Linked DNA regions of Arabidopsis thaliana. The protein of the gene in region 3 interacts with the protein of the main gene of each other region in a pairwise test. Each region holds a gene or a part of one and is shown on either strand. Other genes may lie near its edges. The genes, in order: AT5G45580, UNE16 and AT5G66770.

Region 1 (11,015 bases), 8.2 Mb from region 3:
AACGCTCATACGGTGAAGAGGGCCAGCAGGGTGCTGAAGCGGATGAAAGACGCCGAGCTACGGGTCCAGGAACTCGAGGTGAACAATATTGACCTCATGGCGAAACTGGAAGTAGGTAAAAATGCCTATCTTCCATCGTCCCCTTTACAAATGTCATCGAATCCTATTTATACTCAATACATCGAATCAAACGTATTAAAATACTTGCTGACTTCACGCCGCGGATCTCGCGTTATTAACGTCGTACGTTACGAATCTTCAATTCGGGTCTTTAATGCGCGGTTTAAGTCGTTCTTTTGATTTTTTGGTTTATATAAGCATCAAAAATTTGCAAATCAGATTTTTTGGTTTTCATTGGGATACATCTGTTGATTGAATGCATTAGTGAAAGCTTTGTGGACGTTTAGGAGAAGGCTGCTTAATGAATTCGTTGTATTTTTTTTCCCTTGGTTTCAGACATATGCAATGTAAACAGCAAACGGGAATCGTTGGGATTTATTGTCTTAGAACAGAATCATAGAAATGAACATAAAAAGAAAAAAGTCATAAAAGACATTAAGCCTTGCATGTCTTACGATTGTGTCCAATTTGCTTGCAATTGCCACAAGTGTGTTGTCTTCTAGGCTTCTTCTTCTCCATAGCAATCTCTAGTGCAGACTTAATTCTCGATTTCTTTGGTCTACCTGGTTGTTGACGAGCTTCCGGTGGTAAACATATCTTCGACACGACATTCTCGGGAACAGGTATATCAAAGTTCCTGGGCATGATGGCATTAGCATAGGACTTGCATAAATAATTCTTCTGAAAGTAAGGATGACACAATGATATCCGAGAAAGTTTTCGTTTTTCAGCAGCTGCAAGCGCGTGGGCACATGGGATCTTTTCTAGGTCAAACCTGCGACAAGAACATTTCTTGTCCTTCAAATTAACAACATGCAGAGATGCTCCAAACGTAACTTGTACTTGATTTGCATCTATGTCTTGCACACTTAGCAATTTAGCGTGCTCTACACGACTCTACAAAGAAGACAATGTCATTAGTTAGCTATAATCACCAATATACGGACGTGTATAAATTGTGTTTGTATTAGAAATGAAACCTGCAATATCTTCTCTACTCCACGAGTAAGATATGTAGACAAATTCAATGCATCATTCCTTCTGTCTGAAAACCATCTCGTCATCATGGATCTAATTTCTTCTAACAGTTGTACAATAGGAAGGCTTCTTGCGGGTGACATGACCTTATTCATTGACTCCGCAATGTTACTTGTAAGCAAGTTGTACCTATCACCAGGAAAATGCACACGAGTCCACAAACGTACATCAGCTCTTTGAAGGTAAGCATGAAGAGCAGGATTCAAAGCTAAAATCTGATCAAATATCCTTTCAAAATCGACTAATCTGAAAGCGTTTGCTGCCTTCTTTACCAAACCAAATGCATCCCGACCTTTAAAGCGAACTAATATATTCTTGTACAAGTGGTATGTACAGATTCCCCGGCTAGACTTAGGATAAACTGTCATTATTGCTCTTTTAATGGATTGGTGCCTGTCTGAAATAATGGCGAGACTTTCATCATCTGGAATCACACTGCTGAGTTGTCTAAAAAACCATTCCCATGAGGCATCATTTTCAGTATCAACAACGGCAAAAGCAATCGGGTATATCTGAAAGTTACCATCTTGAGTTGTTGCTGTAAGAAGTGTCCCTAAGTATTTTCCCTGTAAAAAAGTACCGTCAACAACCACCACTTTCCTCATGAAAGGGAATCCTAAAATACTTGCACCAAACGCAAGAAACAAGTACTTAAATCGCTGTGTTTCATCCACTTCAAGTCGCGTGAAGGTTCCAGGATTTTCCCTCCCTAGCATGTACAAGTATACCGGAAGTTGCTCGTAACCACTTTCTGGTGTATACCTAACCATCTCTCGGGCAGATCTTAGTGTCCGATAAGCCTTCCAGTAATCCATCTAATAAAATGTATTGACTTTAGTGATTAGTTGGTTGAAAACAAGGTGTAATTAATAAACAAAGAAAGCCAAGAAATTGGAAATCGTACCTTGATTTGAAATCGTTTAGTCAATGCTTCGGCAACGTGCATTGGGAGAACCTTAGGTCCAATTCCACCAACGTAATTCTTATAGAGCAATCCAAGTATTTCGTGAGTAGCTTGTCGAGAACGTGATGAGCGTTTAGTAACAGAACATGTATGTTCCGAAACATACACTCTCACCTGAAACTTTGGATACTCGTCAACTGGTGTTGCTCGCACTCTCCATCGACATCCCTTAATCCAACACTTTACAAAATATAATGTAGGAGTCGATTTCGAAACATCAAAATCAAATTTCTCTAACACAGTAAGTATCTTCAAACGTGTCTCCAAGTGATCTTTCGTTTCAAAACATTGACCAACGGCCAATCCCAATGACGATAGTTCTAAGGTCTCGTATGTAGCATCTCCTTTATCTTCTTCTACGTATACACTTAAACTCATCTTCTTGCTTGATACGTTCGTTTTATCTTCTTCTTCTGGTGGAATCCCATAGAGGCTAAAGTTCTCATCATCAGAATCTGTTCCGTCGGAATCATCACAGTAATCAAATCTACTCCCGTCATCTTCACCATCTTCAACTGCTTCAGATTTTTTTCTTTCAACAACGCTATCAGTATGAGTGAATACGTCAACGTTTTCAACGTTTTCTTCGACAATACCGTATACATCAACTGCTTTTGTCTTCGGCAAGTCGCTGCTACCTAAATCATCAATGATTTCCTCTTCATATTCATCTAGAACTTTCTCTTTTAATTCAACACAAAGTCGAACAGTATCATTCTTCGTTTGCCCCAAATAAGACTGAAACTGTCTATTATTACCAATGAGTACAGGTGGAGTATCTGCTGGTAATTGCTTTGATTTCGGGATCTTGTAACTCAAAATAACTTCAAATACACTCTTCTCGATATTGTAATCCTCATACACCATTTGGATGAAATCATCATAACTGGTTTGACTATTACCTTCAAGTACACGACAACCTTTTGTACTATCAACCACAAAAATCCATCTCGTTTTCTCATATACCCATTTACCACACACGAGAATTACTTGATCCATACCAAAGAGAGAATCGATAAACAAGGGAATCGAATTTGTGTCAAAGATGAAGCAACTAAGATCTCGAATAGGTAGAAGAATAATGGATTGTATTGAAATTAGATTTGGTAGGCGTTACAGAAGAAAAAAGAAAACGACAATGGCAGTTTTTTTCATTGGAAACCCTAGGCGTTACGAGAATATTCCTTGACTCAAATATGGTAATATTTCGGAAAAATCTGTCGCCTAATAAAAGTCTGTCATAACGTTTTCAAAAAAAAAAAAAAAAAATCAAGTCAAACCGGATTTAACATACAATCAAACCGGAAATAATTTAATTGAGGGCTAGCTAATAAATCTCATATAACAAAAAATTTCGAAATTTTAAAAATAAATCTGCCAAAAAAAGTCTGTTATTACTAAAAAGGTTATTCTAGTCATAAACAAATCGGCCATAACATTGACATGAGTAAATCTGTTATGTTTTGACACTGAAAAAAAAAACTGTCATCACTAAAAACAAATCTGTTATCACTATGTGACTGTGTAGTAATTTTATTTTTTAACAAAAATCTGTTGTAAAACACCAGATTTGTTAACAAGTTAATTAAATCTGTGATTACACAAAACAACTCTGTCATGCCTATATAACATTTTTCGAGGTTAACAAATCTGTTATAACACAACAGATTTTTGGGTGCAAATAGAAAATCTGTTGCCGCCATAAAGAAAAATCTGTGGTCCGAAAAACAAATCAGTGACAGATTTGGTTTCAACATTCTTACTTTTGAAATTTAAATAAAATCTGTGGAGACTATATGAAACAAATTAGTCACGGTTAAAAAATCTGCGAAAAAAAAAAAATCTGGCGTAACATAACACAGGAAAGTCTGGGGTACAAAACAAGTCTGTTGTAAAAAATCTGTGGTTGACCAACAAATCTGTGATCGATAACAAATCCGTCGCAACAAGAGCCACAGATTTATCAAAAACGACGATGGCATTTTCGTAAATAAATGTGGTTTTATTGCCTTGCTGGAATTAAATAGTAATGGCATTTCTGTAATATTGTTTTTCTCTGCAAAGGAAAACAAGGATAATTTAGGTATAATTATTACTCAAATAACTCATATTTTTAGCATTCCTTTTGGGTCTTTATGTATAAAATATGGGTTACTCTATTAAATTTCCCTTATTTTTAACTGAGAAAATCAATCATGAGAATCAAATCTCATCTTTGTTTGATCCTCATTTTTTAGAAAGAGACAATTAGATGCATAGACATATTTTTGAAAAGAATTAAGAAACAAGCAAATAGGTTTTGAATTTTGCAGAACAAGCGAGAGAAGATGCTACACTTTATTATTCACAAAAATAACTTATTTAGTTAAACCCAATTATTCCGTATTTAGCTGATATCAACTACTTTGGACTTCAAATATGTTCTTGATATTTGACTGAGAAACCATGAAGCCAAATTTGTAACATTCTATAAGAAATGTAAAGAAATAATAAAATAAAATAAAAAATTAAAGAAAGTGTCTCTTTAACCTATTGAAGTCTATCTCCAATCACATTTGGCTTCACTTCAATCCCATATTTCCCACAATTCAAGAGATCATACCCACTTTTGGAGTTCAAATCAAAATGCACAAACCCGGATTCTGGTTTAACACATGCATCTCCGGTTTCTATTTTCTCTTGTTCTCCACATAACCGAAACTCTTGAGAGGAATCACCACCATTAAGGTGTGAGATATCAGTAACCAAACCCGCCTTCTCGTTCTTACGATCACTTCCTACAAGTCCCGAAAGTGCGAGATTGAAATCCGAGAATTGACCCTTGTCTGTTTCCCCTGCATTACCACAAGGTAAGCTCTTCTGTGCTTTCTCTAGTAATGTCAACAAATATTTTCCTTGTGCCTCCATTCTCATCTGCAGTTTTTTCTGCACCTATAACACCGCAAAAACTTCGGTTTAAAACTTTTATTCATTGTTGTGAGAGAAGAAAGAAGAGATTTGTTACCTCGAGTTGTTCTTGAAACCGTTGTTGCGCATCGACCTGATGTCTCATTGCCTCAGCAAAAGGTACATTCCCGCTTTGTCTACGTGTGTTCATTAACATTATGTCAAACTCAAGCTTTACAAATCCATTATGTCGAGAGAAGGCAAATTCATATATAATATACCTTTGATGGTTATCAAATCTTGAATCATTGGAGATTCCTCCTTGAGAACAATTGTCGAAATGCACATATGAACTTCCTGTGAATACAAAAATCAATCAATCTTTGGTTTCTCAAATGTTATCTACATTAATATTCCTTAAATACATCATATGTATATATATATTATACTCTACTATAAGCTGAATTATATATAAATCTTGAATTCTTGATAATAATCATACATACCAGCATTTTCTTTGTTTTGTTCTGTTCTATTTTGTTTTTTGCCTTGTTGTTGACCAAGTCTATACTTCTGCATATAGAAACACATCATAAGAGAGAATATAAACCAACAATTTGTAGACATTATACATTATTATATACTCAAATTTGTATAAATTTGGACCTGTAAATGGCTCTTGAGATGGTACAGTGTTAAACCTTTTAATCCCATCAGCTTCAGAACCGATTTAGGAGTTGCTTCTACAAAACCAAACCAATAACAAATGTCACTAAGCAAACAGATATAATTACATTTGTAACCTATTAAATTTGAAGTTATCAAGCTACATAGAGAAGAATCAATTGAATCACTGGCATTAACTTAACCAACCAAACCGAAGTGAACCGGAATCATAATGTGAAACCGGTTATCTCAATTGAAGAATAAGAAAGAGTAAAAGAGCTATAATGTTGTTACACAGATACATCAACTGTAGATTTAACCGGACTGAACCGGAATTATAAAGTGAAACCGGTTATCACAATTGAAGAAGAGGAGGAAAGAGGAGCTTACTGTCAGCGCCACCGAGCTTAGCGACGGCGTCGACGAAGCGATCATGAAGATCGGCTGTCCATCTGAGCCTAGGTTTGGGATCTCTAGTCATCATAACTCCGCCATTATCGTAACCTAAACCTCCGAGATTCACTCTTTCCATTTAATTTTCCGATCAAACAAAATAATGGCGGGAAACTCAGTCGGAAGAATGAATCAAATAACTTCGAAATTTTCCTCTTCTCAAGGATGTGATCGGAAAGAGGAAGCGTAAACTCAAAAAAAGGAAAAATGGCAATCGAACTACGAAATATTGGTCGGAAAGAAAGTGGAAGAAATTTTGTTAAAGATGGGAATGCGAGTGATTAGGGTAAAGAGATAATCGGCGACGAGAGGACGAGATAAATAGAAAGAAGTGTGATGATTGATGGAGAAAAAGAGATCAGAAAACTTTTTGAGGAAAATCTCAGAGAGAGAGAAAGGGAACTTAAAAAAGTCGTCGCGGTGATGATGATGATGGAGGAGGAGAAGTGGTGACATTATTCGTGACTTAACGTCAACCTTCGGTTAATATAGTATTATTATAATATATGTATAATACAAATTATGGATCCAACACTAAAAGTTTGTTTATATACAAAAACAAATTGTATCCATATCGAAATATTATGATAATAAAAAAGAAAATAGTAATTATTAACGTTTTTTATATCGATTTTGTGAATAGTATGAAAGCAAAACATAGCAAAATTTTATTGTATTATGACTGATTAGTGATTTATTGCATACAAACGCAATTACCAACCGCATATTACTTGCGTTTTTAATTGTGTCTATGAGATGCTAGACCGTGTATATGTCATGTTGTAGAATAAAATATATACATGATTGCGTACTTTTTTTTTTCTTTTTGTAATCAATCAAGAGGTATTTGTATATTCAGAATCGTAACATGGGAGAGAGGAACATGGCCCGCATCATGGATATTTGTTTACTATACCTAGATTATTAATGTCCAAAGAATATATAGTTTCTAGGAATTATCATTTTTATCATTTGAATAATTTATATGTTAGATTTATGTGTTTTTAAATCAGATAACTTATGACTAAAGGTTTTGTCTCATTCTCATACAATCCATGAATCAAAATCTCTCTCCATGTTGTTCCTTTATTTAGGTATCATATAAATTTATCATTCATATGTTGTCGGATAGTCTCAATTTGAGATAGAAGAAGAAAATAAACATAGAAAATGTTTCGACCAAATTACTAAATTAGTAATTTGTTATTACACATTCCACATTACACATAAATCAATTCCGAATAATCAAATAAAATGAAATTCATTTTTTTTTTGATAAAAGATTTGATGAAATTCATTGTTGTATTGTGACCTTTTAAAAATTGTTTTAAAAAAAAAACAAATCGTTGTATTCGGCGACGATCAATACATGATGAGTGATGAGCGGTGTCAAATTCCGACAAGAGCGACATAAAACCTTTTTTTGTATTTTTTTAAAAACAATAACAATAATAATTCAATGGTTTTAAAAAGGAATTTATATGACGAAAACAAAGTGCATGGGGCGAGCATGTCACGTAGACTGCCAGCGTGGAATATTCGCCGTCGGACAAGGAAAATACAATAATCTGAAACTCACATGTTCGACGGTGGGGGTTTAATGGTATTTCAACATAGGACACGTGGACGGCTTTGTTACTCTTTTGTCTTTTACGTTTGTTGAAATTGAGACCCACAAGAAATACACACGTGGAACCAAGGCCGCTTCGTTCGACCGCAATCGTTTTGTCCTAACCAAACATGAGAATGGGTGTATTTTTCAATCCAAAGCTCGGTTTACACCGGTACAATCTGACTAAACCGAAATATCATATAACCGGACCGACTCGGGAAACAAAGTTTCTTCTGGTTTAGCTGGAAAATGTACTTGAGAAAAAATCATAAGCCTAACTTGTTTCTCTTTTCAAAACCGATCAGTCTTAACGCCAATTTCACCATATTTCGAAAACTCAATTTATTCCAATGAAGTTAAACTGAAACATAAAGATTTTTTGAGTACCAGTGAGCAAAATTATCTGGTAAAAACTGGAAGAGACTGGCTTTCATCGTAATCATACTGTTTCATGCTCTATCTCTCAATTGCAGAAATTGAGTTTCTTCATGACTTTCGCATATGCTGGTGGTACTAGTCCAGGTTGTCTCAATCTACGCTTCGATTTCTTTGACTGCATCAATTAACAAAACAAATTCTTTACACTCAACATTTCTCAACCTGACTCAGAAATCTTACACAATGATGAAACCCCGAAGAGGTCCAACAACAGAGATGGTATTGTAAAATACAACTTTGCCTACCATTTGTCCATTTAGCTAAACAAGGAAACACCTAAAGACTCGAAGTTCAAAACTAGTTCTATCCAAATTTAAGTTCACTATCACCAGAATCAGCTGTTGGGCAATTTTCGATCAGTTCTATCCCTAGGTATTATCATACTGTTCCTCTAGAGGCGTAGGCCAAAGAATGAATAAAATTTTCTATCATCGATATGAGGAATAAGGTGTTGTTACCTTCAAATGTGCGTTGTGGCGCTTGCCTTCTTTCCAGCGACGGATGGTACCATCATTTAGTGGTTTAAACCTGTCTTTGAATGACCTGAGATATAGATTCAACACAAAAAAAAATTGTTGAGAGAGACGCCCAAACTATTACTAACAAGATTTGTTGATAATCTGGGAATCAGAAGTTTCAGCACGTACGAATAAAACTTAATCTTGACTTTCTTGACTTTTGATGTGATTGGAGTCCTAGGTCTCCACTTCTTCTTCCATTTTGCCATTTTTTCCTTAGAAGTGATATTTCGTACTTGAACAAACTGAAGGCAGAGAGAATCAAACGTACATAAGATAAGCAATCAGATATAAATCAATGTTGGTACTTCGTAGTGATGATACTCAAGCACACCGCCTTTATCATCTGGCTTAACGAACATGATATCAAAATGCAAGAGCTACTATGAACAAATAATTCTATTTTCGGAAAACACGCAATCAAAGCCATGACGATTCTTCTTTCCTATGATCAAACAAGGGGCACAAAATTCAAGAACCGTACACAATAAATCCGAATGTTAAGATTCCAAAGAAAACATGTATGTATCTTATGAGATTGAGTAAGCTCTTTTTTTTTTTTTAACAAAAGAGATTTAGTAGGTTAAAACTTGCAACGTAGTGATATATGCAAGCACTGACTTGTATCAGTTGGATTCAAAACAAAGTGCAAGTAAGCTTATTAACATTCTTTGAATTAGTATTTAGTAATCCATGTTGTTGATTTTGTTTCAACAGAACATATAGAAAATTCAGAAGAAGCTAAAACTATATACCAATTCAAACTATCTAGCTCGTCACTCGTCAGATCTTGTCCTCCTAAGATTTGTCTCAATCAGCAGATATATATAAAGCAATTGAAGCTAAATTCTGGAAACTTACGTGATGAGGAACAAAGGTAGTGCCCATGGAGCTAACATTCGACGGAAAAACTCCGGCGGCGGGAACGAAGCTCCATTTGGTGGAATTGGCAAAACCTAGGGTTGTTGTTGTTAAGTGACGACTCGGAGAAGGAGAATGGTGAATGAGACGGTGAGGAGAAGCACCGTAAAAAGAGAGATTCCGATTAGATTGGAGAGAAATGGAACGTAGCTTAGTGCAAAACCTCTGCATTGTCGTCTCCAAGGGGAAGAACAATTTTCTGATTGAAATGCGAATTTTATAAAAGAGAAGAAGTGTGTGTGACAAAGCTTTGGGGTTTTTGGGAAATGATTTTGAGTGTTTGGTTATTAGGATAACTCTATTCTTTTTTACTCTTTTTTTTTCTTGTCATCATTCTCTTTTACTTTGATAATGGTAAAATGTCTTTGGGAAAAAAGCCAAAAAAATACCAAACTAATTTGTTTTTTTTTTGTAGGCGAAGGGGACAACGAGTCCCCTTCAAAATATTATTATAAAATTAAACCAAATTACAAACAAATACGCCGTGAATACGAGATCCCACGATAGTCTTCATCAAAAAAAGATGAGATACAATCCGAACAAGAATCTAGTAAATGCAACCCTAAAAGGCATAAAAATGCATAATTAGCCAAACCATCCGCAAAGTGATTCGCCTCCCTATACACATGAGACAATTGGACCAACCAATCCTTTGATAAAAAGCCATAGCACAAGCGTGCTAGGAACGACAAGGGATGAGTATCGCATATCCCCGTCTTAAGAAACCCCGCAACCATCTTCGAATCAACTTCCAACTTTAACCGAGTAATCTTGTTCTCCCATGCATAATAAAGCCCATAGTAGAACCCCCAAAGTTCTGCTAAAGGAGCCGTACATACCCCTATATTAAAAGCAAAACCTTGGACCCAGTTCCCCACCGCATCTCTAATGACCCCACCAGCCGTGGCTAAACCCGGGTTACCTCTTGAGGCTCCATCCGTGTTAAGTTTGAACCATCCTTCATCCGGTCTTGACCAAGCAATCTGACGCTCCACTCTAACCCTCTTAATCTGACCTCCATTCGCAAGACAATGTGCTTGATACACATCTTTTGATATCTCTTTCACAAACTGGGTACGATCACGGCACTTCCTATTCTCACCAAAAACGTTCCCGCATCTCCACTTTCACGCCCATCACATTGCCATACTGAACACTGTCCCCCACGGTATCCCCTCTCTAACCACCTGACTTCCCACGTTTCCATAAATCCACTCTAGTAATGTTTGAGTGTAAAAAGGTCTCTGGAGAGTAGGTGGAACAATACGGTTCCATATCCCCATCATCGCCGGACAATCCCTGAGAATATGGAGAATAGTTTCATCTCCACTCTTGCAAACTTGGCAAATAGCTGTATCACATAAGTGTCTTCTCTGTCTCTCAGTGTTAGTCATAATAA
Region 2 (10,652 bases), on a different chromosome or scaffold from region 3:
AAATTCATATTATGATGCCAAGATTGGTTTGCATTTGGGGTTGAACACATTGTAATTCTTCTTACGACCACATAATCAAGTGGTTCTCCTTTTTTTGTCTGCTAATTAATTGTTCTTTTCTTTGCGGTTACTAGTAACCATAAAATAGAAAAGTGTTTGTTTTCTAATGAGAAAATATTATAATTCTGTTGCACCAACTCCAACTTTAAAAGTCCAATGTTAGAATATTTCCTACATTCTATACTAAAGCTCAAAGGTCAATAGAGAATATGAATAGTAATAGGGCAGAGAAGCGTTAAAGGGCAAATATGAATTTAGATTATCTTTTCTTTTGTCAACAACTACAATATGAGTTTCTACAACCAAATAAAAAGTTGATTATATAACTTTAGAAATAATTATGTCATTTTTAGCTTCAATTGTATTTCCGAATATGCAAACAAAAGTGAAAAATCTAAAGTTTTGGCACAGAAATAGAAAGAGGACAAGTATCACTTATTTGGAAAGAGAAGAAACTTAAACTTTTTACCGACCACAAAAGCGTCAATTTTTGTTTCGAAACGACGCCGTTTAGAGTACAAAGTACAATACTCTCCCGGCAATAACCAACATTAGAGTTTTGGCAGAGATTGTTACAAAACTACACTTGCTCATGTTTTCACTAGGCGTATAATCGTGTCGTGTTATTTCGAGTAAGTACATACCTTGCAGTTCAAGCACTATGCAGGTCCAGTGGCATAGACATAGCCTTTACCTGCAAAAACACCATTTGAAACCATACAAGATTCAGCCACTTGGTAAGCAAAAAACCATGGAAGATTTAACTACCAAGAACTGTGAAACAAAGAGAGCACTCTTAGCAATTTTTCAACCCTCATATCAAAGCACACAACGATGAAACTCACCATTGTGGATGAAGGGCTAGAAGAGTCAAGATGTCCAGATCTTCTAGCCTCCCAAAACCGGCTTGTTTTATCTCCACAACGCTGTACCTGCGATTTGCTCTGATCTTTGGAAGAAAAACTGATCTTCTCTCTTCCCTTTTGTACAGCTCTTAACCGACCTCTCAGCAACCCAACTTCACTCTCTATTTTCAGTCTTTCATAGTCAATAGCTGACATTGAATTTCTTCGCATATTGGTAGACATGTTACTTTTCCCTTGTGGAAATGCATAACTTGTATCTGAAACACTTTGTGATCTGTCCAGTTTCAGATCCTGAGTGGCATGGTCAGAAGGAACATTCAGTTGCCCCTTGTTATCTTCATCAGTCACTACATGGATGTCATGTACATGACAATCAATGTCGTGAGGGTCCTCACAAAGCTTCTTAGAAACAGCAATGTCGCTAGTTCTTGATACTAGTTCTGCATATAAAGTTTCACCTTCCTCTCTTTCTTTCAGTTCTATATCACTCAGGGCATCAAATGGCTCACTTCTTGACTGATCACACTCAGTATTGTCCATCTGATTAGTGAAGATCTCAAATCCAGAAGAGACATTCACAGTCTCCATGTCATCCCATGGTTCAGTAATCTGTTGCGGCGTCTGCAATCTTTCGATTTGAGCTGGTTTAGAATCTGGAGTATTGTGAGGTTGCTCAGTCTCAAGAAACATTTGCCTGTAGGTATCAACTTCCTTCTCCAGAAAATGTTTCTCCCTCTCCCTCCTAAGCAAAATTTCTTTAAGAATACTCATCTCTTCCGCATCAAAAGCAGACTTTTCTTCTATCATCCGCTGATATTGCCTAGCTTCCATCTCTATCGACGCCTTTTCTTCTTGCAACCGTAATATCATACCTAAAGCCTCATCTGCAGCAGATGCAGCAGCATTTCTCTCTTTCTCAAGTTCAAGAGCTAACGAAGCACGTGCAGCTCGTTCTTCCCCAAGCACTTGTTCTGACATCTCAACCGTCCTCTGTACCATACCAGGGGAACTGCATGCACCCTCTCCCACTCCACACCCAACAGAACTTAGTGAAACACTTTTCCGCAACGACACATCCTCCAATGCTTTTCCACTATCTACAATGTTACAACTTGCATCAAAATCAACATTCACTATCCAATATAATTGAATAAAGACAACAAAAAAACTTACCATTGGAGTTCACAAGAAGAGGATCATTTTCATCATATGATCCCTCAAAGCTCTTAAGGCCTAAACAACTTTGGTAATGGTTCTTGAAACCATACGGCGACCTATGGAAGCTAAGCCGCTTACTCTTAACTTTAAAGCTTCCTTTTTTCAAACTTTGCGCAGTTAAAAGATCGAACCCTGAAGCCTTATTCTCAAACTTTCCAACAGAAGGAGTAGTACTAGATACCTCATCTTCCAACTGAACACGTCTACGCTCACATTTTCTCTTCTTTCCACCATTATACAGAATTGAATCAAAAGGTGTTCTATTTTTAACAGATCTTTGAACAGAAGAGATCTTTTTAACCGGAAGATTCCTTAAACTCTCTTGAAAACACTCACTGTATAGACCATCACAAGGACATGGTAGGTCTAAACCAAATAAACCGAGGAACTTCGATGTTACATAAACGATAAACGATGCGCAAAGTAGCGAAAACGCAACGGAAAGATCGATAAACGCAGCCACTAAACCTTTAAATGTCCATGATTTTACCTCCTGGCAACGCATTTTATACCTGCAAGTATACAATAATCTACAGAAATTACTCAAAGTTTGAGAAATTGGTTAGAGAATCAAATTGTTATTTGAATCAATTACAAGCATATATCCAAATCTAAGACTAATTTGGTAAGTTAATCAATCAATCAATCAAATTATATATAAACACAATCGTTACCACAGAGAAAACTCAACGATGAATCAATCGTTAACACAGAGAAACTCCTTGCGATTTGATTAATTTTTAGTAAATTAGAGAATTGAAACTCACACGAAGAAGAAGAAGTTGAGAAATCTTGGGGAAGCAAGCACAACGTAAACGGCTCTTCCTCTGCCGTTTTTATTTTCTCTCTTTGTTCAAAAATCAAAACTTCTTTTTTAGTTTTCAAAACTTCAGTTGCAAATCACCGTACGAGTGAGCAGATACGCCGTCATTTTATCGCCGACCCCATCACTCTCTTCCTCTTGAGATTTTTTTTTTTTTCTTTGACATTTTATTTTACACACGTAATCAAATTTGTGCATTTACGCAAATGTGTGCCAACTAATTTGTAGACAAGATCCAATCTATAGCATGGAGATAAGTTATGAGTATTTAATGAGTATTTTTTATGTTATACAATTACATAAATTCTATATTTAGGTTTGTCCAAAAAAGAAAAAAGAAGGCAAGCTTAGAAAAAGTTGAAGCAAATACACAAACTAAAAGAGAGGCTACAGATTCAACAAATATATACATAGACGCTAAGACAAGTTTGATGACAGAGTTTAGAGTTAAATACAACATAGCAAAATTAAATAAGCTAAAATCTGGTCTCGCTCTCTCTCTCTCTCTTGCTAACTTCATCCAATGCTACTACTAGGCATAACCCATCCAGCATCATGACCAACAACCACACTATCTCCATTTCCAAACACTCCTCGTTGTCTCTTCTTCATCAACGCAGCTGATACCGGACTTCCTACAGTGCTGGAAGTCAGAGAGCTCTCTGCTGAACAGTTGTTCTTGTGCTCTATTGCTACTGCAAGCTCGGATAAGGATGGAATCATCATTTTGGTTGTGTCGAAGGTGCTTGTTGTTCCTTGGCACCCATTGGTGATGGAGGCCTTTATGGCTAGCTCTGAAAGCTCTTCTCTAGCTGCCTCTAACCCAGCAAATGCAACAGCTTGCTCCTCTATAGCCTTGCAAGCTTTCTCTAGAATTGATTGCAGGTACTTCCCTTGTGCCTCGATCCTTAACTGGAGTCGCCTTTGCACCTGCGTATACTAATGGATCTTATTAAATGTGGAACCAGGGCTCAAACATTAGTATATGCGGTTTCTATGGTTCTAACTTTCATGAAAAGATTTCCTAAGTAGTAACGTTCTGATAAGCTTTAAGGAAATTCAATGGAGGTTTCTATATAGTCTCTCATTAACCAAAGTCTCTCTGGTATTTGGTGAATTCGAAGAAGAAACTAACCTCTAGTTGCTCGTGTAGTCTTCTTTGGACTTCCATCTGGGCACGCAAAGCTTCAGTGACCTGGTAACTCCTGGCTCAAGACAAAAACAATGAGTGTTATAGACAGTGAATATAACACTTGGAATAAAGAGAACACTTGAAACCATACTCGTTCTGTTCTTGAGCAGCCAATCTTAAGGATGATGTTGAAGATGAACCAGTGTCCTGACTCTCCGCAACACAAGAAACTACAGAGATATAAGTTCACAAAGATATAAATGCACAACTGAATCCATAAAGATATAAATGGATTCTTAGCTAAAGATATAACTGAATACCATCCTTAGAGTTGTCAATTGATTCTTTACAAGATTGCCTCCCCAAGCGGAATTTCTACCGAGCAAAAAACCAGAGAACAACACAGTCAAAAAGCAATGAACTTTGTTTGTTATAAGTAGCCAAAGAAGCATAATTTGATATTGAAGGTAGTAGCATCAAAACCTGAAGATGAGATTTGAGATGGTAAAGAGTGAGACCCTTCACTCCCATTGTTCTCATTATAGTTTTAGGCGTTGCTTCTGACATCAAACCAAACACACAAAAAAACTAATCTTGTAAACAAATCTCAAGGCCAATAAAAAAAACCTAAAGAATGCCACAGTAATTCCTAAATTGTTCTAAGTGACATAAACCCAAGAAATCCATTCTATTTCAGGATGATTGACTTCCAAATCTGAAAGAAATTAGACCTAACTCGTTGTCAAATTCTTCGTACTAACTGAAGAACAACAGATTAAAAAAAAAAACACATTTCATTCTAAGATCCATAAATTTCTAAGAAGGGACACTTACTGTCGGGTCCGCCGAGCTGAGTGACGGCGTCAACGAATCTTTCATGGAGCTCAGAGGTCCAACGAAGGCGAGGCTTGGGGTCAGTGGTTAGGACCAGACAAGCGTCGATGGGAAGATTGGTTCCGTCAGAGTAGTCTCCCAAGCTGCCATCTAGAGGAAGCGAAGACCGAATCGCCGAGTACATTCTTCTTTGATCCCCACAAAGGAACAAACTTTTCTTCGTTTCTTTTATTTTCTCGGCTGTTTTCCCGGGAAAGTGAAAGAAAGTGTGAAGAAAGATATTGTGGATTTCTAAGACAGCGAAGAAACGAGTTGATAGATTGGACAAGACAACACTCGGATAGTATTTTGTGTTTATATTTGTGCATTATTGAATTTATTTAGATATTTTCAAAAAAAAAAAAAGAGAGAGCAGAATTTATGTTTTGGTTATTTGTACTCTTTGCATTGAAATTCCAAATAACATATATGTTTTGAAAAAGTAGTAAGATAAAATTTCTTTTAGTTATTATTTTCGTTTTTCAATAGCAGAATAAAACTTCAAGTTCTCTATCTTAAGATGGTGCTAACTGCTAAAATAAACCAAATGAAAAAAGAAAAAAATAGGGTCCTCAATTTTTTTTTAAATATCAAATCCTTTAAACCTACTAGACATTTTTCCAATTATTTTTCTTTTATATAATTCAAGAGAAAAAAAGTATTCTTTAGCTTTAGTTTTTTAATTTTTATATTACTATTGACAAAATTTGTTTATGTAATAGCAGTTTCCAAATTCAGCCACATAAAACATTAAGAAATCAGAAGCACATCAATCATTCATATGCATAAAGAGAGACTCTGTTTCTTGGCAACATAGAATCTTTATTTTGAGACACTTTCTCTTAATCTACAATTCATCAATTTTAAAGCCATAGATGCACGTATATATGTAATATGTACACATATATAAGCCCCTAAAAAAGGATGGGGTATGAAAGATAGTGATAGTTACTTAGCAATGGTAGTAGAAACAAAGGAGTGGTTCGTTTTGTTAAGTCATCGATGGTCTCCTTTGCTCATGATCAACTCCTGCATCAACTCCAACTTTTCCTCAAGAACAGTCATGTGACTATTCTTTCCTTCAGGATAATACTCTTTGCTCAAGTATATCGTCTAGTATCATATCATTGCTGAGAATTCAGCTTACCCGTAAGGTTTGGTCCATGATCTCCTTCTTTGAGCGAGAACCAGAGCTCGAACTTTGGAACACAGACTTAACCTTCCCAAAAGAGGCGAGTGAGCTACCAGGCTTTGGCTCTTACCAGTAATCTTTACAAGAGCAAGCACCTCCTTCAAAATGATGAAACCTATATGCATCCCTCACTATGATTTCTCGATTTGATACCTTAGATACAAACTTTATCCAAGCATGGCAATCGTTGCAAACACGTAGGTTCTTCATTACATTTATAGGCACTGTTGCAGGCAAGCTAAGGAGTCCAAATGAAATTGCTAATTTCTCGCTGTGGATGAAAATTATTGGATCTTTTTGCTCGTGCTGCAGTTCATTCAATAGGCTGAAACAGTCTTGCACATACCCGATTTCAGATGCTCGTTTGGTAAGATCTTGGAAGTATTCATGTATCTCATCTGCTAACGGGTGATTCTGGTCACCAACATAGAAAGAGTGAATTGAGTTTTTAACTTCAATCCAACTTTGTCCCGGTTCTTTCTTCACACCCTTTTCTTTCATCTTTTGTCTTGTAAGATCCCTAGCATCCCATTTCTTGGACACCGCATACAGATTTGACAGAAGAACATATGTTGCTGAGTCTTCAGGTTCTAACTCTAGGAGATGATGCGCTGCAAATTCTCCTATTTCCATGTTCTTGTGCACTACACAAGCACTCAAAAGTGTTCTCCAGACCAAGGCATCTGGCTTAATAGGCATTTCCTGAATGAACTCTTTCGCACGGCTCAAAAGACCAGCTCGAGTTAGCATATCCACTACACACACATAGTGTTCCGGTTTAGGAGATAATCCATATTCTGAATTCATGGATTCAAAGTATGCAATCCCCTTGTCCACTAGTCCTATGTGGCTACATGCTGATAGAACTCCCACAAGCGTCACATGATTAGGCCTTACATTAGAATGTATCATCTGGTCAAAAGAATCTAGTGCTTCAGAACCAAACCCATGTTTAGAATAAGCATTAATTATCGCATTCCACGAAACTTCATTTTTCGTGGAGACTTCAAGGAACTGCTTCTCTGCATCAGAAATGCTCCCACACTTGGCATACATAGAGATTAAAGCATTGCAAACTTCGGTTTCTGAATCGTATCCGGTTTTGGTGATCACAGCATGAACCTGCTTCCCTTGTTTCATGTTAGCTGTCTCAGAAGCAGCTTTCACAGCAGACCCAAACGTGAAATTATTATTGTCAATTCCTTCTCTGTTCATTCGAACGAAGACACGAAGTGCTTCTTCATTGTTTCCACTCTGCTGAAATCCGGATACCAGAGCATTCCATGCTATATTATCTCCAGCTTCAGTTTGTTCAAACGCTAAATACGATTCCTCTATTTTTCCGCATCTAGAATAAAGTGTAACCAGTGCATTTTGAAATGGCAGGTCAGATGAGAAACCAGATACACAAGCTTGAGCATGAATTTGCTGTCCTTCCTTTAAGGCTTGAAGACCAGCACATGCACTAACTGCATTTGTCAATCCAACTTCATCAGACCGAATCCCTCGATCCAACATCTGCCTGAAAGTTGTTAAAGCTTTGTCGTCGAAATTGTATTGCGTGTAACCTGCAATCATTGTTGTCCAAGACACAACATCTTTTCCAGCAAACCTTATAAGTATATCCCAGGCAGTATCCAACTTTCCTAATTTTGCATACATATCGATGAGCACACTACAAACATAGGCATTGAGCTGAAAGTTAGTTTTTATTATTTGACTATGGATTTGTTCTCCAAGCTCCAGATCCCCAAGTCGTATGCAAGTTTTCAAAATACTCGGGTAGGTATATTGATTTGGAACAATTTCCTCTATCTGCATCTGTCTGAAAATCCTAAAAGAATTTCTTAAATCGTCTAATAACCCATAAGCTACTAGCATCACATTCCAGAGAACTACATTTTCAACCTCAGTCTCAAGAAAATAATCAAGGGCGGTTTCAATATCAGCGCATTTTGCATACAGATTAAGGAGCGCACCTTCAATCTTGTTGTTTGAAGCAAAACCAAGTTTAGTTGTGTATGCATGTAGCTGTTGTCCCCTAAACAGAGTTCCATCAGCTGAACATGCAACCACAAGGCTCGCAAGAGTATTACTGTCTGGTTCAAGTCCATCAAGGTGCATTCTTTTGAACAATTCCATAGCTTTCTCACCATAACCACACTGAGAAAGCCCGTTGATAAGAGTGTTATAAGTAACTGCATCTCTCTGTGACATGTTACTGAAGATGTGTTCTGCTGATATCAAATTTCCCAAATGAAAGTACAAAGACACAAGTGCATTGCAAACATAAGTGTCGGAGGAAAACCCTAACTTCAATACGAGCCCATGAAGCTGCTCACCAATCTCAAGAGATTCTATCTTCTTACACGCACTTAAAACACTTGAAAACGCATAAGGCGTTGGCATGATACCTAAAACATACATATCGCAGAACAATCTAATGGCTTCTGCTTCACATTCATTTTTCGAAAGCCCGGATATCATTGCAACCCAAGAACTATGATCCTTCAGACGTAACCCATCAAAAACCCTTCTAGCTAAATCCACAAACCCATTCCTAGAGTACAAGTCAATCAAAGGATTACACACAACCGTACTATCCCTCAAGCCCTGATATAAAATCCTTGCATGAATCTGCTCAACTACATCAAAAGCAACACTACCACCACGACATGCTTCCAAAACACCACTGAAAGTTCCTTCATTCGGAGTAACATTCTCACTAACCATTCTCACAAAAAGACCAAACACTTCTCCAATCAAATTCCTAGAAGCTAACTCCTTTATCATCTTATTCCAAGTAAAAATCGTTCTCTCAGGCATTTCGTCAAACACCTTGAAAGCACCATATAAATCTCCTTTAAAAAGATAAAAATCAAAAAGCTTTTCAGAGAGGCAACCATTGCTATCCAAACCCAACTTCAAAATCTGGGAATGTAGCTTTCTTCCTTCATCTAAAGACCCATTTGTCTTCAAACATCCTTCAAGAAGCCATTTCAAAGTTTGATGATTAGGTCGAATTCCACGATTCTCCACGGAATCAATTCTCTTTTCTTGAAATGATTCATCCTCAGAGATATAAACAGATATAGCAGCAAAACTAGCTCTCCTGGTCCCACAAAGAGTCTACAAAAGAGGAGCATAGTTACAAAATCAGAACCATGTTAAAGCAATGGAGTTTCAATGGGATGATTTAGAGAACAAGAACGCAAGCATTACAGGAAAGACAGTTCTGGTCTTGAGCTTACGAGGAACACCATGAATGAAGATAAATGAGGACGACACTGAGCGAAGAAACATGGGTTCCTCCTTAGAATGCCAAAGACGAACCAACCAAATATATTTATTCATGTGGAAAATATTATCTTCGAAATTTTGTTTTGGTTTTGGTTTTTCAATTTAAAGTTTACTAATTAGGGGAGGAAAAATTCCATAATAAATATTATGTTTTTTTCATAATCATACATAAAAAATTTACATATTGAAAAGTACACCGAACTATTGTTTACTCAATTTACAACCTATATATATATATATATATATATATGATGATGTTAAGTGAGAGCGTTTAATAGCATGTGTAAAGTTTTGGGTTTAGTATCTATGATGATGTTAAGTATGAAAGATAGCTAATCTCGTAAGAGTTTAGAAGAGTGGAGTCAGGAAATGTGAATCAGTGAATGGAGTATGAAGTAGGGTTTGTGCTGGTAATATTACAATAAAACTCGTATAAATAAATGAGATGGTGGTTTGTGTTTCTCTTTGTTCAGCCCATATTCACTGTATTTCGTGTAACAATTTATTTGTGACTATAGTTTGGTACATTATATGGTTCGTTCCATCTAGATATTCTAGAACAAAACGAAATTTTTAGGAATAATTAAAAATTGTTGAGGGGATTCGGTAATATGTAAAGTGTATAGAAAAAGATCTAAAACTATAGTGAAGTAGTTTGAAAAGGGGACATAAGATACAACTTTCGGCTGTATATTTAATAAACAGAATGGATTTAGTATTAAGGAGTTTATAAAATATATATTCGACCGTTCAGAAGGATATATAGCCAATGAAAGCCCAAAAGCTTGTGATTGGTGAAAATTTGTTACAATTTTTTGGTGAAGTTAAGCTTAGACAAAAGTAACCAAAAGTCTAAAAGGTTTATTGTGCAAAAAGAAGAGAAAAGAAAACGAAGAGATGGAGTTCTAATACATATTATATATCTGATGAAGACGGCGAAATAAAAAGAAGAGGCAAAAGTATTTAGGAGAAAAATGTAAATGAAGACTTTTATATTTCGAGTTAATTTTCAATGTACATACTGTTCAGATCCAATCTAACAACTCTTTTACCTCTAGTTAAACCACTTAACACAGCTACCTCATGGACCATGGTGAGTCAAAATTGGTGATATAAAGGTGTGTTTACTTTTGGTGATTTGTTTTTAGCTATTAAAATAAATATACGATTTTTTATTTTTTATTTTTT
Region 3 (11,393 bases):
TGCAGGTAGTTACCATCAAAGGCGATGATCCAGATGCAGTGATTCCTGGGCTAATGGCTGCTGGGGAGGCAGCTTGTGCATCTGTTCATGGTGCCAACAGGCTTGGTGCAAATTCACTGCTCGACATTGTCGTATTTGGTCGTGCTTGTGCAAATAGGGTTGCAGAGATAAGCAAACCAGGTTAGTCTTTTTTGAGGACTGCTGTTATTATAAAAGATAAGTCTCTTCTGATCATTTTTTTTTCTTTATTCGATTGGTGCAGGGGAGAAACAGAAACCTCTTGAGAAGGATGCGGGTGAGAAGACTATTGCATGGCTGGACAGGTTGAGAAACTCAAACGGGTCTCTACCTACTTCAACTATCAGATTGAACATGCAGAGGATTATGCAGAACAACGCAGCTGTGTTCCGCACGCAAGAAACATTGGAAGAAGGTAAACAGTGATCTGAACTTGTTCTGCATTTATTTAATTCTCTCACCTGCAACTGCAATCCATTTTCTTTACAATTTATTACCGTGAAACAATCACAGGTTGTCAGTTGATTGACAAGGCCTGGGAAAGTTTTGGGGACGTCCAGGTGAAAGATCGGAGTATGATATGGTAAGACAGACTCTATTCACATGGGATTGATTATCACACTGTTATAAAATCTGGTGAACTCTTGTTAATCTTGGAAACTATGAATAAAATGCAGGAACTCGGATTTGATAGAGACATTGGAACTGGAGAACCTTTTGATAAACGCATCCATAACAATGCATTCAGCAGAAGCACGAAAGGAAAGCAGAGGAGCACATGCTCGGGAAGACTTCACGGTTTGATTCCTTGCTCAGCTTTTCCACAATGATTGATTATCCCATAATGATGAAACCATAACGTAGTATAAATGAATGCGTGTGTATGCAGAAAAGAGAGGATGGAGAATGGATGAAGCATACATTGGGATATTGGGAAGATGAGAAAGTGAGATTGGATTATAGGCCTGTTCACATGGACACTCTCGACGATGAGATCGACACTTTCCCTCCCAAAGCTCGTGTCTATTGATCGAGCCCATGTTTTTATTTTATCTGTTATCGGAATAATAATAATAATCAGGAACCCCCCAAAAAAAGGGAATTAGGAGAAGAAGACGGAGTTATGAGCTGATGGAGCACAAAGGACTGTTCTGAAACTGGGTTTACGTTTTACACCAGAAACGATGAAAATAAATTGATAGAAAGAGGAAAAAACACTACAATTCTTATTTTCTTTATCAGTTCCTGAAATTGTTACATTCTTTGTTACCTGTTAATTACGCCTTGGTGATATTCATTTTTTTTTTTTAAATCAAAATGTTCGAATTCCGTATCGACCGTGAAAGTTATTTTGCGGTGATAATAGGTATCAGAACACGAGATACAATTTTGAGTTGTGACCATTAGAAAAACAAAATTTGGGTTGTTTTTTCTTGTCTGAACAAAATTTTATTTTAGGTAAATTCGGATCAGTCAAGGCATTTTTTAGGCCTACAAGTGGGGGTAATTTCAAATATTTTTGTTCAATATTTGCGTATCTGAGCGAGTTTTAGATTGGTCCGATCGTCGTCGCTAGATGATAATGTTGGCCGTAGAAAATGTGACCTTTATAATGTATCTCTCTTTAAAAGTCGTCCACTTGCTTATGGCGTATACTAAAAAAGTGCTCTTCCACATATGCAAATTGAAGATACAGTCGGTGAATGTAAATACAAAAATGATCTATGATTACGACCTTGAAGCTTAGAAACTAGCCCCACACCAATTCGACTAATTATGTAGTTCAATATTACACTAACCAACCATAAGATATTATATTTTTCCGCATGCGTGTGTGTTATTCCTAATTAGAACCAATCGATAACAAAATTAGAAAGCTCCACACAAATTAAACTAAACCAGTCGACTTCACCAACCAACCTTATCTATTAACCTGCTCATTTCACATTTAACAATTCCAAAACCCAATCAATTATAGTTAATTAAAAAATTTCGACACAAAGCTGACTTAGCAATGCCTAAAACGCAACGTATGAAAGAGAAATCGAGGAATGTCGTAATTAAATTGTCTAATCTTCATCTAACCTTGTCAATAAAGTAGGGTTTTTACTCACTCATACACCTTTCTTTTTCTTATCCTTATCTTAAAGTAAAAAATCTTTTTCAAATTTACTTTGACCGGTTACGGAACTTATGCTTAATGGGGGAAGATTCATATATATATATATAGACATACAAAACTTATTAGAATATATGGAGTTTTACCCGGAAAAAAAAACTCATTAGAATAAAAACTAATTCTTGTTGTTATTTACTTTTTACACAATGAATTTAACCAAATTGTAGAGAAATTACCTTATCTACTGCTTTTATGTTAATATAGTTCATAAGAAATCTGAAAAACACTATGCACCTAGTGCTGTATATTCAGAGACTGTTGTATGTTTTATGTAAAAACTGAAAGAGAGATGTGTAAGAAGTGGGTCACCAAAGTGAAGTGAGTGACATTTTGACGTGGAGACAAAGGTGCAGTGCAACACAAAAGAGAGGTTAGTCGAAAAGCCAGAGAGATTAAAACGTTGTTTTTTGCATATTTTTCTTTCCCACTCACTTTTTTTTATATAAAAAAACACATTTGCAAATTATCATTTATAAAAAGAAAATACTTTAACTATATCCTTCTTTATTTTCTGTTCAACCAAAATACTTTAAATATCCAACACAAACTCACATTTTAATTTTTGGTGATCGTTGCACTTAGTATGGTTGTTGCACACATTAGAAAAACTAAATTCTATAGGATTCAATTGTTCTAAAATTCTAATTATATATGTGAAAAGATGAAAAGCTGTCAGATTATATTTCCCTTACTGTATGTGTTACTATTAAAAACACTCCAGATTATTTTTTTTAAAAGCTTTGGAAATACTGTTTTATTTTTTTCATTTTTGGGTAATTTTTAAAAGCTAATTTTAAGATTGGTTGCTTCAATTGTGCAAGATCGATCCAATAACAGTTAAAAAGGCCCCACCAGCGATTCCTTTTCCGTGTCATATTTTAGAACTTACATGTATATTGGGCTGATCCATGGGCCCATCTGTCACCCTCATACAAACTATATATAAATTATAACACACACACAGTCTCATATATATATAACAAGTTGTCAATGAATAAATTGACAATACAATTTGAGATTATGTCTTACTTTAATTAATTATTTTATGGTGCGTCTATATTGTATCATGATGTTAATGTTTGGATATATATACAAACAAGTAATTTTCACATCAATTGCACTCTTCTTTTAATTTGTTTGGTAACCATGAAAATAAGACCATCTATTTATTTATCTATGAATGAATAATTAAGGAGGTAGGTGAGTCACTGAGAGTCAAGAGCAGTTTGTGATGGGAAAGAAGATACACATTACAGAGATCAACGGCAGAGATGAGGAACCCTACAGTATGATGACGTCATCGTTGACAGTGGTGGACCCCACCTCTCGGGTCCCTCGAAAAGAGCGGGATGAGAGATTTGTTTTCATTCATACACTTCTCAGTCTTCTGAATCTTCATCACTCTTAAACTTTAGGTTAATTTCATTTTTTGTAAACATATTTTACATCTATCTTAACCCAGATTTATATACGGTACGAATTTATTGAAAATATGGTATAGTTTGGAGGCATGAAAGAAGTAATATCAATATTGACAAGGAAAAGAGCGAGTTTATTTGTCTAGTGATGAAGAAGGACCCATAGCTTCGTCATATCCTCTCCTCCCACTGAGCGTTTCACTCACCAAAAAAGCTCTCTTTAATTTATTTTATCTTCTATTCCTTTATTTAGCAAACATTTTTTTAGTATTTGATTATAAAATCTGTTTAATTTTTGTTTTGGCGCGAGAGTGTGCGTCACGTGAACAAATTTACATTGTTATATCCCAAACGGAGACATTAATATGAACAACCTCGGCCATTATATGTCATATCGTCTTTAAAAAATGTTACACAACATTGTGAACTCAAATTCAGAAACTTGTTAGCGGATGAATCGATAATGACGAGTTCACAATGTAAAACTATGATAACATTCTCTTACACACAAAAACTAATGTGGGAGTAACTTGTACATATCTCTCTATTTCTTTCTTAGGAGACTAACAATTTGGAATTAGATCCAATGATTTCTATAATGTATGCATAAATATGTTATTGGTTAAGAGATGTGGTGTGTTTATATCGGTATTATTACCGTTACAAATATCATTGTCTTAAAAATAACAAAGAAAAATGTGTGGACCCACAATGAAATCAGACGGTCAGATTTTAATCAAACGTTGATCCACTTTCTAGGGCTGACCTTTCTTTCTTCTCCTCTCTTTACCTCTCTCTCTCTTCTAAAATCCAAAGCTTGAGATCCCGCCGTTTCTCTCTGGTCATCATCCTCTTCTTCAGTGACCGCAAATCTGCATGTTTGGCAGTGGTTTTTATAGACCGCCGGGAGGGTTAGATCTAGGCGTTAAGAATGGCTTACATGTGCACTGATAGTGGCAATCTAATGGCTATTGCTCAACAAGTCATCAAACAGAAGCAGCAACAAGAACAACAACAGCAGCAACATCATCAAGACCATCAGATTTTTGGTATTAATCCTTTGTCTCTTAACCCATGGCCCAATACTTCCCTCGGGTTTGGGCTTTCAGGTTCGGCTTTTCCCGACCCGTTTCAAGTTACCGGCGGCGGAGATTCCAACGATCCTGGCTTTCCTTTTCCTAACTTAGACCACCACCACGCCACAACCACCGGCGGTGGGTTCAGGTTATCTGATTTCGGCGGTGGAACCGGCGGCGGCGAGTTTGAGTCCGACGAGTGGATGGAGACTCTTATCAGCGGTGGAGACTCCGTTGCAGACGGTCCTGATTGTGACACCTGGCATGATAATCCCGATTACGTAATCTACGGTCCTGATCCATTCGATACTTACCCGAGTCGACTCAGTGTCCAACCGTCAGATCTAAACCGAGTCATTGACACGTCGAGTCCGCTTCCTCCGCCGACCTTGTGGCCTCCTTCTTCGCCATTATCGATTCCTCCGCTTACTCATGAGTCACCAACCAAAGAAGATCCAGAGACTAACGACTCCGAAGACGATGACTTCGACCTAGAACCACCTCTCCTCAAAGCTATATACGACTGTGCACGGATCTCAGACTCTGACCCTAACGAAGCTTCCAAGACGCTTCTTCAGATCCGAGAATCTGTATCGGAGCTAGGTGATCCGACGGAGCGAGTTGCATTTTACTTCACGGAAGCTCTCTCCAACAGACTGTCTCCTAATTCGCCGGCGACGTCGTCTTCTTCTTCATCTACGGAGGATTTAATCTTATCTTATAAAACCCTAAACGACGCTTGTCCTTACTCCAAATTCGCACATTTGACGGCGAATCAAGCGATTCTAGAAGCGACGGAGAAGTCGAACAAGATTCACATCGTCGATTTTGGAATCGTTCAAGGTATACAATGGCCTGCTCTTCTTCAAGCTCTAGCTACTCGTACTTCTGGTAAACCCACTCAAATCCGGGTCTCGGGTATACCCGCTCCATCTCTCGGTGAATCTCCGGAACCGTCGTTAATCGCCACCGGAAACCGCCTCCGTGATTTCGCCAAGGTTCTGGATCTGAATTTCGATTTCATCCCAATTCTCACTCCCATACATTTACTTAACGGGTCAAGTTTCCGGGTCGACCCGGATGAAGTACTGGCCGTGAATTTCATGCTCCAGCTCTACAAATTACTCGACGAGACGCCGACGATAGTTGACACCGCACTACGGCTCGCCAAATCGTTGAACCCGAGGGTCGTCACTCTCGGAGAATACGAAGTGAGCTTAAACCGGGTCGGTTTCGCTAACCGGGTAAAGAACGCGCTTCAATTCTATTCCGCGGTTTTCGAATCCCTTGAACCGAACTTGGGGCGTGATTCGGAGGAGAGAGTGAGAGTTGAGCGAGAGTTGTTCGGCCGGAGAATCTCGGGTTTGATTGGACCGGAGAAAACCGGAATTCATAGAGAAAGAATGGAAGAGAAAGAGCAATGGCGGGTATTAATGGAGAATGCCGGTTTTGAATCGGTTAAGCTGAGTAATTACGCAGTGAGCCAAGCGAAGATTCTATTGTGGAATTACAATTACAGCAATTTGTATTCAATTGTTGAATCTAAGCCTGGCTTCATCTCTTTGGCCTGGAACGATTTACCTCTCCTCACTCTTTCTTCCTGGCGATAACCAAACCAAACCGATCCGGTATTCTTAGTTTTGTTTTGTTTTCAATGTTATTTTTGGTTAGACAAATATTCAATTGTTAATATACTCCGTGGTCAGAGTGTTTTGTTTTTCTTTTAGTTCGAACGTTGAATTAATTCAGGGGTAGGTTTTGAATTCTCTGAACCTTATGTGTTTTTTGGTAACATCATTTGGATTTGTGAACTAGGTTTAAAAACTGGTCTTAGTCTTGTTGTTTTCTCATTAGATAATTTAAACTGGTTTGCTTCTTTATTTTTGGTTGGATAAAGTGACCGGTTCTGGTCATCTGTTTGAGATGTAATTACTATTTCATAAAATTAGGAAGTTGAAAGCCAAATATATTTGTAACTACTCTTTTATTTGTAATTTTGCTCAAAAAAGTGATGAAATGTAGTTTTGATATATGAATATCTACCATTATACATAAGTATATCTGAACATGGTACAACTTATGAAAGCTAAATGTCAATACTTGCAAAGATATAACAAATACAAGTTACATGAATAAGAGATGTGTGTTGAATTTATAAGTGTCATTTTCTTTTCACTTTAAAACAAACTTCATCTTCTTTTGTTTCTTATGTGTCAAAGTTGCCACAGTTGCTCTATTTGAGTCTTTCAGTGTCAGTCTCAGTCACTGTACTGATTTTACTTTTTTTTGTTGAGTGTGCCAATGATGACATCACTCCCACGTCCTCCATCCGTCTTCTTTTAACGGTCACGTGGCTCCCACCCTCTTTTCTCGATGTCTTTACCGACTTGTTCTAGCCCAACTTACTTGGGCCATTTAGATTTTTTGGTGGCCCAAGTTGCTAAAAGAGGATTTATCATAGAAATCTGAACCCGTTGCAGCGCTCAACACATGTCACAGTCCTGACAAACACGTATTCAAATCCTTGTTAAGTCCCGCCACCTGTCACCAGAGCACCACGAGGCAAACTCTGATCAGGACACCGTCGTACTATTATGTCGGAAGACAGGAAAGCTTAATTAAGCTTAAACCTGACGTATTTAACTTCGTTAACTCTACCTTACTAAAGGGTTTTAATTTAAAACTTATCATCTCCTCGTAAGAATAAAAACTACTTACTCTATAAATTTAAGCTTCAAGAAACCTCCAAAAGCAGAGAAATGATCAACGCTTTTAAGACTATCCGATCACTGCCCTCGAATACCACCGTCTCGTTCTGCTCAACACCATCTCGATTAGGCCGGAAAGTCACTGGAGTTAGTTTTGCCACCACTTCTGATCAGCAAAAGATGGATAAAAAGCCTGAAAATCCAAACGAGAAAACCGGGTTCGTCTCCTCCCCATATGTGTGTAGTTGTTTCTGATTCGTAATTTGGATGTTATTCAAAAAAAATTTCGTTCTCTTCTTTACTTTGATGGAGCAGTGACGTGATGTCGCATTCTTATGGAGAAGGGTACGCAACAAGGTCTGACGAAGAAGGGTTTGGAGGAATCTATGGAGGAAATCAAACACTTCAGAAGGAAAACGAGATCCATGAGAATCACCCTGGTACTCAGAATAGTTAGTTATCATATACACGTTTATTACTACTTATATGATCACTTTTATTGTTTACGATTCTGGGTGTGTGTGTGTGTGTTTTCATGTTATTGAAGATTACGACAAAACGCAAGGTAGCGAATCGAAGGAGAAGGAGAAAGCAAGGAACCAGACACAATCCCACTGCTAAAGAAAAAATGATGATTTAGTGTCTTTGTTCTTTATGCTTTAATAAAATCAGACTTGTGCTCTGTAGTTCGTAGACTCTGGTTAGAGTTTTTTTTTTGTTAATTGCGTTTTTTGACCCGTAACCTTTACCGGGTTTTTGTTGGTTATCCTTATCACTTTTGTAACACTCGTTGAATTAGTAGTTTTTGTTGATTGTTGAACATTCCCTTAATTTGACTGTGTTTGTTTATTTATGAACAAATCTACGGTTTTTTAGTTGAACCGTCGAGGAAAACATTCTTAGATAACGTCAGCAATGAATATTAGCCTGTTTTCGGACTTTCGATTCCGATGCAACACGTTAAAAGTAACGTCAGCGAAGATAAATTTGGTAAATTCATCTGAAACTCCAATGCTGATGGAACTTAGCTGGTGTGTTGCGTGTTCATAATTTATGTTATTAGTAACGTCTTAGAAGTTGGAATATTCACTCCAAGTTCGCACTTCAAAACTTTCAACAAGTTTTTAGTTCTTATCGTACGTCTCAAAACAGAGTTGAGGAGATTTAGCTTCTACTGTTTAGTGTTCTACACTTGCTTCGTACAAAGAATTGAATTTTTATTTCCATAGTTACATGCACATATTTGTATTAACAATCTCTTATTATTGGTTAGTATCATATCTGTAGTTATTCGAACACTGGGGGCAAATTTCATTTAATCAATCACCTAACGAGGCTATGATGCATGATTAACGAACGTTAAAGCCAAAATGTCAAGACTACCCCCTTATTATCAGCTCGCAGTTGGTCAATGCCTCAATGGTCTGAAGTTCAGACTCTGAACTATAATACAAGGTCAACTCAACCCGCTGGTAGTAACGAAAGTACGAAACAGTCAAAAACATATCTTAAAAATTACATAAAAACCGGAAACGAAGTTGCAGAATTTACAGTTTCTGCCATTGGGACAATCATTCGATCTCATCATTATCCTTCTTTCTCTCCATGGCAGAAACTCCTCAACCGTATCTCATCTTCGTCTTCTTCGTCTTCACTCTAACCGTTGCTACACAAACCACCGGTTCGGTTAAGTGCAAAACAAGTTTGCTCCGTTACCCGTTTGGTTTCTCCGACGGTTATCCGATCCGATTCAACTGCTCTGAGATAACCGGAGAGGCCGTGATCGGTGAATTCGCTGTGCAAGAAGTGACAAACTCCAACATCTACGTCGAAATCCCGCCGGTTTGCAAACGCAACATCCGTAAAATCGAACAACTTTTCCGGGAAAATCTTGCTCCGTCGAAATTACAGAACATAATTCTCGTCCAAGGATGCAAGAAACAGAACAAGTCTTCTAATTGCTTAATCCGCAATAAATTCGTTGAAAACCGGTTAAATCTCAGCAAATGTAAATCTCCGGTTAGCTGTCTCGACGGAGCAACAACGACAACTGCCGATGTGATGAGTTTAGGCGACGTTGTGAACGGAAGTGGATGTAAGTATTGGTTCTCTTCTATTTCTCAATCGCAAGTTTCGGTCAATTTGGGTCGACTCAAGCTTGATTGGTGGCTTAAGGGAAGTTGCAGTAACACCACTTGCTCGGAGAACGCAGACTGTGCCAAAGTTAAGCTCGACGACGGTGGACTCGGTCATCGCTGCACTTGTCGTGAAGGATTTAGCGGTAAAGCCTTCACCGTGCCTGGTGGTTGCCACCGATTAGGTTCGTTCCGGTCTTTGACTTTTGTTTTCCAATCTTGACCGACATACAAATACACCAATGGTACAATGACACGTACGCTTTTAGCAAGGAGGAAAAGCTGACTTTTCAAAACTTGGCGGAAGAAATTAGTTGACAATGATTTTTTTTTGATAAACAATAAAACAAAACGATATTTCTGTTCCGACAAAAAAATGAAAAGAAAAGATATTTCTCTTAATTATTTTTAACTGTCATGGTTTCAGTTTACAAACGCAAAGGACTACACAAACTCGTTGTTCTTGGTACTGGTAAGTAAATTACTAATCCTATTATTCGGTTAAGTATCAATTAGTTGCGGTTTAATTAAGTCTCGAAAAGTTGAATGTTTTGTGTTTTTGTTATAGCGGGGATTTTGGTTGGAGTTTTAGTAATCGTGGTCTTGATAGCTACATATTTCTTCCGGAACAAGCAATCTGCGTCATCTGAAAGAGCATCAATCGCGAATCGCTTGCTTTGCGAGCTAGCCGGAAACTCAAGTGTTCCTTTCTACACCTACAAAGAGATTGAGAAAGCTACCGATAGTTTCTCCGACAAGAACATGCTCGGAACCGGAGCATACGGAACAGTCTACGCAGGCGAATTCCCAAACAGCTCATGCGTCGCTATAAAACGTCTCAAACACAAAGACACTACAAGCATTGACCAAGTTGTGAACGAGATCAAGCTTCTTTCCTCTGTGAGCCACCCAAATCTAGTACGTCTCTTAGGTTGTTGCTTTGCAGATGGAGAACCGTTTCTAGTCTATGAGTTCATGCCAAACGGAACTCTTTATCAGCATTTACAACACGAGAGAGGCCAACCACCACTTTCTTGGCAGCTCCGACTCGCCATTGCGTGTCAAACCGCAAACGCAATCGCACATCTCCACTCTTCAGTAAACCCTCCTATCTACCACCGAGACATAAAATCTAGTAACATCCTCCTTGACCACGAATTCAACTCCAAGATATCTGATTTCGGACTCTCTAGGCTCGGCATGTCTACCGATTTCGAAGCCTCTCATATCTCCACGGCTCCACAAGGCACTCCAGGATACTTAGATCCTCAATATCACCAAGATTTTCAGCTCTCGGACAAGAGTGATGTCTATAGCTTTGGAGTTGTTCTCGTAGAAATCATCTCAGGCTTTAAAGTCATAGACTTCACTCGTCCCTACTCTGAAGTGAACCTAGCCTCTCTTGCCGTCGACAGGATCGGAAGAGGGCGTGTGGTAGATATCATCGATCCCTGCTTAAACAAAGAAATCAATCCGAAAATGTTTGCATCTATCCACAACTTAGCAGAATTGGCGTTTCGCTGCTTATCCTTTCACAGAAACATGAGGCCTACGATGGTAGAAATTACGGAAGATCTCCACCGGATTAAGCTTATGCACTATGGTACAGAGTCAGGTAAGTTCAAAAACCGATCCGAAATAGATATGAAGAGACAACAATCATTTCCGAGAGAATGAAAAGTAAACACTTGGCAGAAATTATGTATAGTTTAGTATTCAAGTTTTTTTATTCGAATTTTAAGCTCTATATACATAGAGGTAAAACTCTGTCTTTTGGTTTTATTGGTTCCTTGTGTATGAAGTAAACAGTCGGCAGAGAGGAAAAAAAAAAAGAACAACATGCAAAAATATACTTTACC

What was found.
Region 1: the proteins of AT5G66770 (region 3) and AT5G45580 interact in binary tests that used the Arabidopsis thaliana proteins (3 or more experiments, as listed by UniProt).
Region 2: the proteins of AT5G66770 (region 3) and UNE16 interact in binary tests that used the Arabidopsis thaliana proteins (3 or more experiments, as listed by UniProt).

Annotation. Positions count from the first base shown.
Region 1 is NC_003076.8:18,476,441-18,487,455, forward strand, and holds AT5G45580 (Homeodomain-like superfamily protein), read right to left. Parts: upstream 6,569-11,015; 5' UTR 6,207-6,568; coding exon 6,065-6,206; intron 5,752-6,064; coding exon 5,675-5,751; exon of another isoform or gene 5,636-5,674; coding exon of another isoform or gene 5,582-5,635; coding exon 5,515-5,581; intron 5,366-5,514; coding exon 5,290-5,365; intron 5,206-5,289; coding exon 5,127-5,205; intron 5,054-5,126; coding exon 4,652-5,053; 3' UTR 4,369-4,651; downstream 1-4,368. Other genes in the region: AT5G45573 (uncharacterized protein), read right to left, coding at 1-57, 107-136; AT5G45590 (Ribosomal protein L35), read right to left, coding at 8,203-8,292, 8,636-8,720, 8,825-8,940, 9,557-9,787.
Region 2 is NC_003075.7:7,933,381-7,944,032, forward strand, and holds UNE16 (Homeodomain-like superfamily protein), read right to left. Parts: upstream 5,266-10,652; 5' UTR 5,118-5,265; coding exon 4,934-5,117; intron 4,660-4,933; coding exon 4,583-4,659; intron 4,475-4,582; coding exon 4,420-4,474; intron 4,330-4,419; coding exon 4,251-4,329; intron 4,173-4,250; coding exon 4,103-4,172; intron 3,907-4,102; coding exon 3,484-3,906; 3' UTR 3,226-3,483; downstream 1-3,225. Other genes in the region: AT4G13630 (zein-binding protein (Protein of unknown function, DUF593)), read right to left, coding at 713-754, 906-2,023, 2,100-2,649; AT4G13650 (Pentatricopeptide repeat (PPR) superfamily protein), read right to left, coding at 6,231-9,293, 9,387-9,518. UniProt on the Arabidopsis thaliana protein: Transcriptional activator. Probable component of the central regulatory system controlling transcriptional responses to Pi starvation. Binds in a sequence-specific manner to phosphate starvation-regulated promoters.
Region 3 is NC_003076.8:26,656,177-26,667,569, forward strand, and holds AT5G66770 (GRAS family transcription factor), read left to right. Parts: upstream 1-4,134; 5' UTR 4,135-4,546; coding exon 4,547-6,301; 3' UTR 6,302-6,743; downstream 6,744-11,393. Other genes in the region: SDH1-1 (succinate dehydrogenase 1-1), read left to right, coding at 6-180, 263-433, 532-601, 696-816, 908-1,048; AT5G66780 (late embryogenesis abundant protein), read left to right, coding at 7,451-7,617, 7,715-7,839, 7,947-8,020; AT5G66790 (Protein kinase superfamily protein), read left to right, coding at 9,005-9,719, 9,962-10,006, 10,103-11,211. UniProt on the Arabidopsis thaliana protein: Probable transcription factor involved in plant development.